2 linked regions of the Caenorhabditis elegans genome follow. The protein of the gene in region 1 purifies or fractionates together with the protein of each later gene. This does not show direct contact. Each region holds a gene or a part of one and is shown on either strand. Other genes may lie near its edges.

Evidence for each region.
Region 2: the proteins of F26F2.1 (region 1) and F59A1.15 fractionate together in Caenorhabditis elegans (co-fractionation; one large-scale study listed by BioGRID). This does not show direct contact.

The regions. Positions count from the first base shown.
Region 1 is NC_003283.11:20,558,373-20,563,491, forward strand, and holds F26F2.1 (Trichohyalin-like), read right to left. Parts: upstream 3,524-5,119; coding exon 3,386-3,523; intron 3,342-3,385; coding exon 3,180-3,341; intron 3,135-3,179; coding exon 2,943-3,134; intron 2,889-2,942; coding exon 2,757-2,888; intron 2,712-2,756; coding exon 2,520-2,711; intron 2,466-2,519; coding exon 2,334-2,465; intron 2,289-2,333; coding exon 2,142-2,288; intron 2,092-2,141; coding exon 1,915-2,091; intron 1,872-1,914; coding exon 1,632-1,871; intron 1,406-1,631; coding exon 1,328-1,405; intron 1,285-1,327; coding exon 1,093-1,284; intron 1,044-1,092; coding exon 942-1,043; intron 898-941; coding exon 790-897; downstream 1-789. Other genes in the region: F26F2.2 (Transcription termination factor Rho), read left to right, coding at 4,290-4,364, 4,458-4,631.
Region 2 is NC_003283.11:17,679,821-17,685,796, reverse strand, and holds F59A1.15 (Adenylate and Guanylate cyclase catalytic domain containing protein), read left to right. Parts: upstream 1-1,933; 5' UTR 1,934-1,940; coding exon 1,941-2,091; intron 2,092-2,733; coding exon 2,734-3,134; intron 3,135-3,431; coding exon 3,432-3,516; intron 3,517-3,560; coding exon 3,561-3,687; intron 3,688-3,908; coding exon 3,909-4,408; intron 4,409-4,681; coding exon 4,682-4,767; intron 4,768-4,819; coding exon 4,820-5,032; intron 5,033-5,085; coding exon 5,086-5,136; 3' UTR 5,137-5,180; downstream 5,181-5,976. Other genes in the region: F59A1.6 (Saposin B-type domain-containing protein), read right to left, coding at 416-568; F59A1.16 (Saposin B-type domain-containing protein), read left to right, coding at 856-1,029, 1,526-1,648.

The sequences.
Region 1 (5,119 bases):
TAAGTATAAAGTTTTGATCAAGGACTCGCTTTATATACTATCACTTTTTGTTAAAACAAACGTAGTAAAAAGTGATGTGTTTAGTTTGATTAGCAGTCTGTACTCGGTTCAATATTTGACCTCATCGCTTTAATGTTGAATTACTCATCCCTTCATTCTTGAGCAATCAAAAAATGGCAAAATTCGATTATTTGTGCTTGAACTTGTGAACTATTGGCACAAATCATAGGTAGTACCACTTGGATTAATGAAAACGGAGGAAGGATGTTAAAGAAATTTTGTTACTGAGGATCACCTTAATTGACTAAATTAAATGAGATAAACTACCAAAATATGCAAAGAAGGTTGATAACTCCAAAAAAGTTAATTTTGGGCAGATGCGGCACGGAAAAGTGGTCAAAATTCGAGATTTTAGCTAAAATCAGCGTGATTTTTTTTCAAAATTTTAAACCGGCATAAAACATTTTTGAAAAATTTGTGAGCAGTTTCGTTACGAAATTCATTCGTTTCAGCCGACACTTCCAAAATTGCTCAAACCGTTAGTTCTTCTTTAAAAATATGTTTGTCGTAAACTATAGTTAAAATTCCATCACAAAATTGACGATACCCAAAAATATAAGATGACCGATTATTGGTTCATTAAAAGGTTCATTTAAAAAGACATCATGAAAAATTAGGGTATTTGTAAATGATGTAAAACTAAAATGAGAAAAAAATTCGTAAACGTTCCTCTGAATGTCGTGCTCATGGATGTATGGTCTAAACAAAGCTCATTCATAAAAATTTTAATCAAAAAAATAAAAAACGTTTCTTGATTTTCTCTTCCTTCGCTATTGATTTTGCGTCTCTTTTGGCATGATCAGCCTCTAATATCATTCGATTGTTTTCCATCATTCTCTGAGTATTCACAATGATCAATTAAAAAATTTCATTAGACTCACTTTCATTTGATTAAATCCGTCTATATTTCTGATTTCCTGTTGTTCCAACGACAATCGTAAGTGATTAGGGTCTTTATCTTCTGGTCCATTGTAGGAATGAGTCTAAAAATTGAGTGGTGTGTGTGTTAAAGTATAAAACCTTAATTCCTACTTTTCTATTGTCGACGAAATGATCATCAAATTGCTGATTATGAATCTGGCTATTGTTGGTTTGACGGCGCTGAAGATGAAGTTCATCAGCCCTTGAAGTATTGTGAGAATTTCCGCGATATGGCCCATTTCCTCTATTGCCAACTCTCGTTTGGTGATCTTCGCGGTGTCTCTGACCTGGTTCCATGTACATCTTAAAATTTAAGTTATAGGTGTATTCATCGGATAGTTCTTACCCTCTGCTGATCATCCGACCAATCTTCTCGATTCTCTGCATACCGTTGCACTCCTTGATCAAACACCCCTCTGGGATTCTGAAAATTTAGGTTTTGCATTTTCTCCTACCTCGAATGGGGTATTCTCTAGATTTAATATTTATTATCATAGAAAGCTGACACTTTATTTTATAAAGCTATATGTGAATCAAAATGCGTTTTACCCCATTTTCCTCATAGTAAGCTTTGCTTATTGCATGTCTTAGTCGAACTGACTCTGACGAGTATCTCTTTTACCAGCATTATAAACTTGTTTCGATCTTACCATGGAGACATTTTTGTAATTCGGCTCAAGGCTTGTTCGATCATTTTCGTGAAATCCGTGACCTCTCGGCTCTTCATGAGTTTCTAGTTCCCTGGGCTCAACGAATCCGTGGACGTTTTGATAACTTGATGCGCCCATCCGTTCTTGTGCCACTCTGGGATTTGCAAAATTTTGCTCTCGCTTTTTCTCAAATCTCATTTGTTCGTTTTCTCTTGATGCTCGATTCTGTTCGATGTGACGCTGGAATTATAATGTATTCACAGTAAAATAAAAAATTTGTTACCTCGTCTCCCCTTAGTCTCCGCTCTTCTTGCTGACTGTCAAAACTATTTCGTCGCTGATGAAAATCTCCATTTACCGTCATACGAGGATCATTGTAGTTTTCTTGATTTTGACAAGCCTTATCGTTCTTCCTTCTTTGATCCGCATTGGGAGTTTTGTATCCTGTCTCCATGTGCATCTTAAAATTCAAAATATCTAAATATTCATAAGATAATCTCTCAAACTTACCGTCCGTTGCTCATCCTGCAATTGCTGCTCGGTCATGTTCCCATGTGGTCTTGCAGTGTAAAATTGTTTTGGACTTGTCTCGTTTCTCCTATTGTCAACTCTTGTTTGATTACCTTCACGGGATCCATGACTTGACCTCATGCTCATCTTAAAATTCGAATTATCGACATATTCATTACAAAACCCTCTTACCCTCCGCTGATCGTCCTGAAACTGTTGCTCGGTCCCGTTTCCATGTGCTTCTCGTTGCACGTAAGTTTCTCTGTAGTTTCTATCACTTCCTAAACGTTTATTTCTAGTCGCTGGATGCTCTTCCACATAACGCTGTAATCAGAATTTAAATTATGCAAAATATAGACAAGCCGGTTTCTTTGTTACCTCATCTTCCCGTCTATGGACTGCATTCTGTCTGCCAGAATCATGTTGTTTTTGATGGTAGTCATCATTCGCATCCACATTTGATTCTTCTGGTCTTGCAGTGTAAGATTCTTTTGGATTTGGCCCATTTCTCCTATTGTCAACTCTTGTTTGATTACCTTCGCGGGGTCCATGACCTCTCTCCAAGTGCATCTTAAAATTCGAATTATGGACATATTCATTTCAAAAATCTCTTACCCTCCGCTGATCGTCCTGAAACTGTTGCTCAGTCATGTCTCCATGTGCTTCTCGTTGTACGTAAGATTCTCTGTAGTTTCTATCACTTCCTAGATGGGTTTCTCTAGTTGCTGGTCGCTCCTCCACAAAACGCTAAAATTCGAATTTATATTATGTAAAATATAGACAAGCCGGTTTCTGTGTTACCTCATCTTCCCGTCTATGTACTGCATTCTGTCTGCCAGAATCAAGTTGTTTTTGATGGTAGTCATCACTCGCATCCACACGAGATTCTTCTGGTCTTGCAGTGTAAGATTGTTTTGTGTTTGGCTCATTTCTCCCATTGTCAACTCTTGTTCGATTACCTTCGCGGGATCCATGTCCTGATCCCATGTTCATCTTAAAATTCGATTTATCGACATATTCATTTCAAAAATCTCTTACCCTCCGCTGATCGTCCTGCTCATGTTCTCGTTGAAAATTCTGATCGAATGATTCTCCTGCTGCTCCATGAACTTCAGCAGAACTTTGCTCACTCTTCATTCCCATTGATTTGCTTCTTCTTTGATCAGTTTCTCCGAACTCTTGATTCAGCGGTTTATAACTCTGAAATTTGCTTCCCGTTACCGAATTAGGTTGGGGTTACATACCTTAAGCACCACACCATTTTGCCTCTGTTCATCATTATCCGAGCGGTGACCTCGAAAGTCGTGCTCCAAATGTCTGTCGGAATGTTCAGAGTCTTCATGCAAACTGTTCTGACTGTCAGCGTGATGGGGCCCGAACATATCGCTCACTCTTAATTTATCAGCCTCACTGCAAAAAAGGCAGTATGCTAATTTTCAATGAAAAAGTAAGAGAATTCTAATAAAGCACCAAAAAGAATCAGAAAAAAACTTCAAGGTATATAATTGTACTTTTAGCCTACGAAAAATTCGAAAATTAAGAAAACAGTTTTTTGGCTAGCACACAGCCCCTATTACAGGCTTTACTACAACAACGCTGTAGAAAACAATAAAAGTAAGACAACTGAACATTCGTGGTCTCCGCTCTTCAATTTATACTGAACTGATAAGAGCATTCCTTATAAATAAAAATATTGCTCCACATTATTGAAAGATAACACAATTCCTCATACGGAAGAAAGTGCATTTCAATAAAATTATAGAACTAAGAAACATAACCTGTCAAAAAACTAACCGCGAAGCGTCATGAAATCTGAGGAACATGAAAATTAACTTTCAAGAGCACATTTCTTTCAAAACTTTTCCTTGACAGGAGGAATTAATTGTTAGCAATATTTTGATTATTCATGAGGTTGATGTGTCCTCTCAGTATAAAAGAAGCTTGCACTCAAGGGAGCATTATATTCTCTTTATTTTTTACCCCATTTGTATCATTAATTTTCCTGCAACATGTTCTAGTAAAACACTAAAACTTTATATTTAAATGATGGTTACTAAAAATTGTGTTTTTTTAAACAATTAAACGGAATTTTGTTATATTCATTTCAATGTAAAGCATAATTCAGAAAACAATTCCAACACCCAAACAATGAGCGACAACAATACACTGCGGATGGCGGAAATGCTGGATAAGCAAAATTCCCGGCAACATGATTTCATGAAGGTTTTTAAATTTATTTTTTCTATTAATTAATAATGTTTAATACTTTACCTAATAATCAATAATTAATAATTTACCACAAGTATTATATTTCAGCGAATGATGGAGATGAACTACAATGCAAGATTGTCCGACCAGGCAAGAGATGATCGAAACGCGATTCGAAGTGAAAATAATCTCAAAGAAGTCAATGCTGGTTATCATATTTTTATTTTCAATTGTAATAATTGTTCATTCAATGTTGTTCATACTTCAAATAGGAAAAAATAATAAATCAATTATTATTATTATTATGATTATTATTATTACGTCTTTGACAATTCGGCCGAAGCACAAAGGGAGGAGAGTCCCGTAGACATTTCCATTAAAATCAGAAGAAGAAAACAAGGGAGACAATTGTTTTGGGTGTTCTTTATCTATTGCAATTTTAAATCTCATCTATTACATTTTTGTTTTAATCAAGTTTTCTTAAAGTTAGCTATATTAGCTATATACTACCTATATCTATCTCGTTATTTTTAAAATAAACACAGTTTTGGCGTGTTTTTTAATCTTGTGTAACACGGCCTCTCTCAATTAAAAAAAAAATTACATTTAAAAAAGTAATAATCTGTCTCTGCGTCTCTCATGAGCGAGAGAGTGAGTTTTTAAACTGGTTTTGCACTGAATACTGAACAATTGTCTGTAAATGGCGGATAATAAAACAAATCAAATGTTTTACTCTGATTGAACAAACAAATAGCGTTTAAATGGCATGC
Region 2 (5,976 bases), 2.9 Mb from region 1:
CCTTGGCTAAACCTCTACCCAACTGAGCCATTGCATCATTTTTTCGAAATTTGAAAAAAACAGCTTTTATGGTCAAAAAAAATGAGTTAGGGCCATTTTTCATTGAATCTAACTCCGAATTTCGATTTTAGACCTCTGTTCAGACTATTTCGATGCCTTTTTTCGGAAAATTCACAACAAAAAATCCGGATTTCGGTAAAAACGCGATTTTCAAAAAACATTTAATCTTCTTCATAGTGATCCAACTTAACAAAAATATTTGCTCTTAGTGGGGATTGAACCCTTGACCTTCTGCGCCGAATCCAAACCTCTACCCGGTTGAGCCACCCGATAAAAAATTTGTGCTAAAAACGCCTCCAAGATCAAAATCTCGCGCCAAATTCGAACTTTTCATTAGTTTTTGTTTCCAACTCACCATATATCCCGTCATTTCTGCCCAACTCTTCGGCACTTTCTCCTCCCAATTCTTATTACACATCTCGCAGAATTGTCCCTGAGCCTCTTGAATATCAGCGAAAGCACTAGCGGCAAGAACGAAAATTGCAGAGAAAATAAGCAGAAGCTTCATGTTTTGGGCCTCCCGGTGTGGTTAATGAGTGATAAGTGATTAGCAAAAACTGCAGAGGATCTCTACAGTACCGAAATTTGAAATTTAAATTGATTGTTTTACATATGATTTGCATTATTTCCATTTTGTCACCAAACACCACGTCTTTTGGAACGTCTAATATGGAAATTTTTCGTGGGAAAAAACTCGAATTTTAGGAATTTTTGAAGATTTTCCCAAGAAAATTGGTATAAAAATGAGTAGGATTCTCTTCAAATTTCAAAAAAAACTTCCAGATTCCCTCCAATATGAAGCTTCTCCTTCTCACTTTGCTCCTGGCACTCTGTATTTCTCCGATATTCGCTAATAAATGCGATTTTTGCACGAAAAGTGTGAAGGCGATCAAGGATGGCAAGGGATTGGCCTATATGGCTAATTTGTCAGCGAAACAAATCGACGATTATGTGAAGAAGCATGTAGAGGTGAGTAACTGAAAAATAAAAATAAATTGGGTGCAGTGGGGGTCGAACCCCTGACCTTCTGCGCCGCAACTAAACCTCTACCCTACTGAGCCACCGAGACCAATTTTAAAATTTGCGGGAAAACGACTTCCAAATCCAAAAATTGCGTAGATTTCAAATTTGTATACATAATCGCATTAAGTCTGACCTAAAAAACTCAAAAATGAAATTTTTCAAAAAAAAAGAACAAAATTCTGATAATTTTTGAAAATTTAAATTTTCTTTTATACTCTGAAGATCAAAATGATTTTAGTCGCAGAAACAAAAAAAAACAAAAATTTTCGCCGCTGTGGGGGTTGAACCCCTGACCTTCTGCGTCATAACCAAACCCGTACCCAGCTGAGCCACTTGGTCACTTAAAAAGTTTGCAGAAAAAGCTTCCAGGCCCAATTTTAGTGTAGATTTCCAATTTTGAATTACCATCGCTCAAAAATCGCTGACATTTGAGTTTTTTCAGAAAAATTGCTCCGGATCCACATGTCCAAAGCTCATCAAATCCCTTGTAGAGATCGCAGATCAACTCGATGATGACTTGGATTCTACCCCACAGGAATTGTGCAAATTCGTATATTTTTGTTGATTTCCATAAATTTTTGAATGGAAATAAATGTTAAAACAATAGATTTTCTCGAATTTACAAACAAATTATCTTGAGAATTTTAGTTTTAAAAAAATGGGAAAATTTCAAACAATTATTCAGTTAGAATTTTTTTCGAAAGCGATCTACTTATTAAATTTGTACAATTTTGTGTTGTATCCAAAAAAGTTTTAGTCAATTTTTATTATTTTCCAAGTTCACGCTATCCACATATTTTGCCACAATGCTTCCCTCCCCTATATTTTCAATTTCCAATCATTTCTGTATTTCAAAAATGTTTTCGGAACTGAGTTCGTCACAAACTTCAAATTCTAAAACAAAAAATGATGAGAGAGTCGAGACGGAGCTAAAGCCAAGCTCATCCGATGCATCAATCAATGATGGGAGAATGTTCGGCAGTTTGGAGGAGCTTATGACGTATATTGGTGAGTTTTGGTGGGAGTTACGCCAAAATTAACTATTGCAAAATATTGTGCGGATAATTTTGAACATTTTTTTTATTTGAAAGATTTTTGGTATCTGAATCCTACGCAGAGATACGACAGGTTAAAGTTTAGCGGCGAGAGAGTGTGGGGGAGGGGAGAGCGCAAGCGCGTGAGCTACCTGCGCCTCTCTTCCCGCCACACTCTCTAGCAGGCCTTCCACGAAAGCGGTGCTCTCGCCACGCGGACCTGCACAGCGTCGGCCGCAGTACACAGAGTGTTTATGCGTGAATTTTCAAGATCTAAACAGAATATTCAACCAAAAGTTTTAGGAATTATGAAATATTTTTTTGAAAAACTTAAAAGAAAGTTGTAGATCATAAAATTTTGAGTATTTCCGTAGTTGAAAGTTTTCGAATATCTTCATTCTCCGCGGAGCTGCACGCGTTTTAAGCTTGTACGGCGAGAGAGTGTTGGAGGAGGGGAGAGCGCAGGCGCGCGAGCTTACTGCGTCTTTCTCCCCACCACACTCTCTAGTCAAGTTTTTTGACGCGCATGTCTTTTAAACGAATAGAGATACTGAAAAACTTTCAATTGACAAAATTATCAGCGTACAATTTTCTACCCAAATGTCAATTATTCCAGGATCCAACTACCCGCACTACCGAAAAACCGTGTTTCCAATCTTCATCGTCTACTTCTTCATCTATTTCTCCTCCAGATTCCTAACAGAGACCCAAAAGCTTAAATCTCTGGAAACTATGAAACACAACGGAACAAATGAGTATTTCTACTCAAAATGTCTCCCAAACAATATGGATGATTCACTGAAAGTTGCTGAAAAAGTGAATTTCATTCCAGTTCGAGTACCAAAAGGAGAGCTGACTATTGTGATGGATACTTTCTTCATGTTTGCCACGACTACTTTGAGCCCCAGAAAGCTGGTAATGTGTTGTCTGGGATTTGTGAGCACCGCGTATTTTGTGATGGCACATTTCGACTCTCAAATTCAGATGAGCATTTATGTTTCGCAGATTTTTTCGGAGGTGAGCGCATTGAAAATATGTTAATGAGCATTTCATCAGTTGGAAGTTTTTTGATATCTCTAACGGTTGAGGAGATATGAAGGTTTGAAGTCAGCGCAGCGAGAGAGTAGGGGAGGGGGAGAGACGCAGTCGGCGCGCCGGCCTGCGTCTCCCCTCACCCTACACTCTCACGCCGCCCAAGCTTTAAACGCGTGTATCTCAGCGGAGAATAAAGATATTCGAAAACTTTCAACTACGGAAATATTCAAAATTTTATGATCTACAACTTTCACTTAAGTTTACTTAAATTTTTTTCAGATATACCGCATCGTTGCCTTAATCACAATTGCTGAGTCGGTTCCAAAGTATCACAGAATGCCGGCGTTGATCCTCCTGGAAATTGGTAGCTTTGAGCTTACAAAGTCTACGAAAAATTCAAATTTTCAGTCCGCACAGCTTCACACACACTTTCCACTGTAGCCGTTCGTCTACCATCAGAATTCTCCATGGATTTGTCGTACAGCTTTGAGATTTTTGGATTTCTCACGATCATCATGGGATTTGTCACTTATTAGTGGGTTTTTATTGACGAAACTGTGAATCTCAAGCCAAAAATTTACTGAAAATTTAAATTTTGGATCAAAAATGGAACAAAAATCTAAAATCAAAGCCGGGAATTGACTGGAAAATTTGAATTTCCCGGTGAAAATTAACAAAAAAATTGAATTTCCTGGGAAAAATTGGCTGAAAATATAAATTTCCCGCTGAAAATTGACTAAAAATCCAATATTTCAGCACATTCCACGACTCTCTGTACAGTTTGTTGGCTCGAAGTAAGACGGATCAAATGCAGGATCGGGTGACTGAGATCTTCAAAAAATCCGACATCTACCAGGCGCCAGATGCCGTAATCGATCAGATCGCATTCGAAAATTTCGAGAATAATGATAACGCTATCGAGATCTTCGTGAAAACGCTGAAATCGTTCAAGCTAATTCAAGAAGTGCTCGTTTGTGGTGTGATCTCCGGCGCCAGCCTTGCTGTCGACGCTTTCTTCGAAGCCGAAACCATCAAGCACGCCGAGCTCATGTTCTTCGAGAAAACTCTGATACCCATGACGTCATACACTCTATCAGCCATTTTGCTCCTGATTCTGAGCTTTTTGATGCCAACTCGACGGATTCTCCCAGTGATTTTGACTATTCCAGTGATTTTTCTCACGACATCGGTTATTTATGTGATTCCGGCGATTTTCAAGACATATGACAAGTGCTCTCAACATTATACCATTGAGCGTGAGTAGAACACAAAATTTTAAGCATTTTATCAGTTGGAAGTTTTTCGATACCTCTTACCGGTCAGGAGATATACGCGTTTAAAGGTTTGGCGGCGAGAGAGTGTGTGTGCCGGGGAGAGTGCAACGCACCGCCTGCGTCTCTCCCCGCTTACTATCTCTCACCCGCTAACTTCAAACGCTTGTATCTCCTAAACGGTGAGAGTTATCGAAAAACTTTCAACTGAGGAAATGATCAACATAAAATTTTGCGTCAGATAAGTTATATTTCCAGATTCTGTCTTTCCGTTCTACTTGGCAATCGGGATATTTACCAGTGCTCTCACAGATATTGTTCGCTTTTTTGTGAAAGTTCATTTGGTAACCATTTTCTCTTTTTTTTATAATTCAACTAACTTTCAATTTCCCTCAGCTTGAAGTAATGCCTGTGTTGATCCGTGCACCAATCATTGCGGTGCTCTATTTTGTGCAATACTCATTTGATGGAAATGTTCGCGGACTCTACTCGATGGATAGTATCGGCGGGGAGATGATTCTGGTGTTGATCTCGATTTTGGCAATGCTGATTTTGTTGATAACTCCGAGAAAGAAGAATGACATGAATGTGTTTTTTTCAGAATATAATGTAAGTAACTGTAGAAAAGTTTAGAGAAAACATTTTCATGAATTCTTGTTCAGAACAACGATAGACAAAGGGCATGCCCACCAGCACCGGAATTTGTGAACTAGATACTGGAACAATTGTCTATAAATAAATTTTTCTAATAGAAAATGTCTCGCTGAACATTTTGAAAGTTTTTCGGTATCTCTTACGGCTACAATGATACGCAAATTCGAAGTCTAAGAGGGGAAGTTGACAGTTAAGAAGGTACGTGAAAAAACTACAAAACGAAGTTAGTATCAAATATTAAATACACTTTGAATTATCACAATGAACGTAGAATTTTCCGCTGACAATTTCTTCAATTGGAAGTTTTCAGATATCTCAAACCACTAAGGAGATACTGCTATTTAAAGTTTTGCTAGCGAGACAGCGAAGGGGGGGAAGAGACGCAGAGAAGGCACCAGAGTGTACTCTCCCCTTCCCCCATACTCTCTCGCCTCTAAACTTTGAAACGGCATAACTCTGCGGGGAATTGAGATATCAGAAATGTGAAAATGGAGAAATGCATAGAAATAAAATTTATATTGGAAAAACTCGATTTCCCGGCGTTGTAACTGATAGTTCAGGTACTGTAACCTTTACAAAAACCTTCCTAATTGCATTTCGGTAGTCTCTTATAAAATACATAGGTACTAGGGAATCCATGACTGGCTGAGTGGCCATAAGCGACAAAATTATGGATTCCACTGGACCTGGCTCAAATTTCAAAACTGGAAAGCCTAGAAGGCACCCGGCAGGGAAGAAAAGCAGAAAAATTGGGAAAATAGTCTGAAAAACTAGGACGCGGAATAGTTGATGCTGCATTTCCATGGTTCTTCTCGACTGGAAATTCGCGAAACTATGCGATTTTTGAAGGAAGACCCGCTGAAGTTTCAGCCAGCAAAATCCAATTATGAAAAAACCAA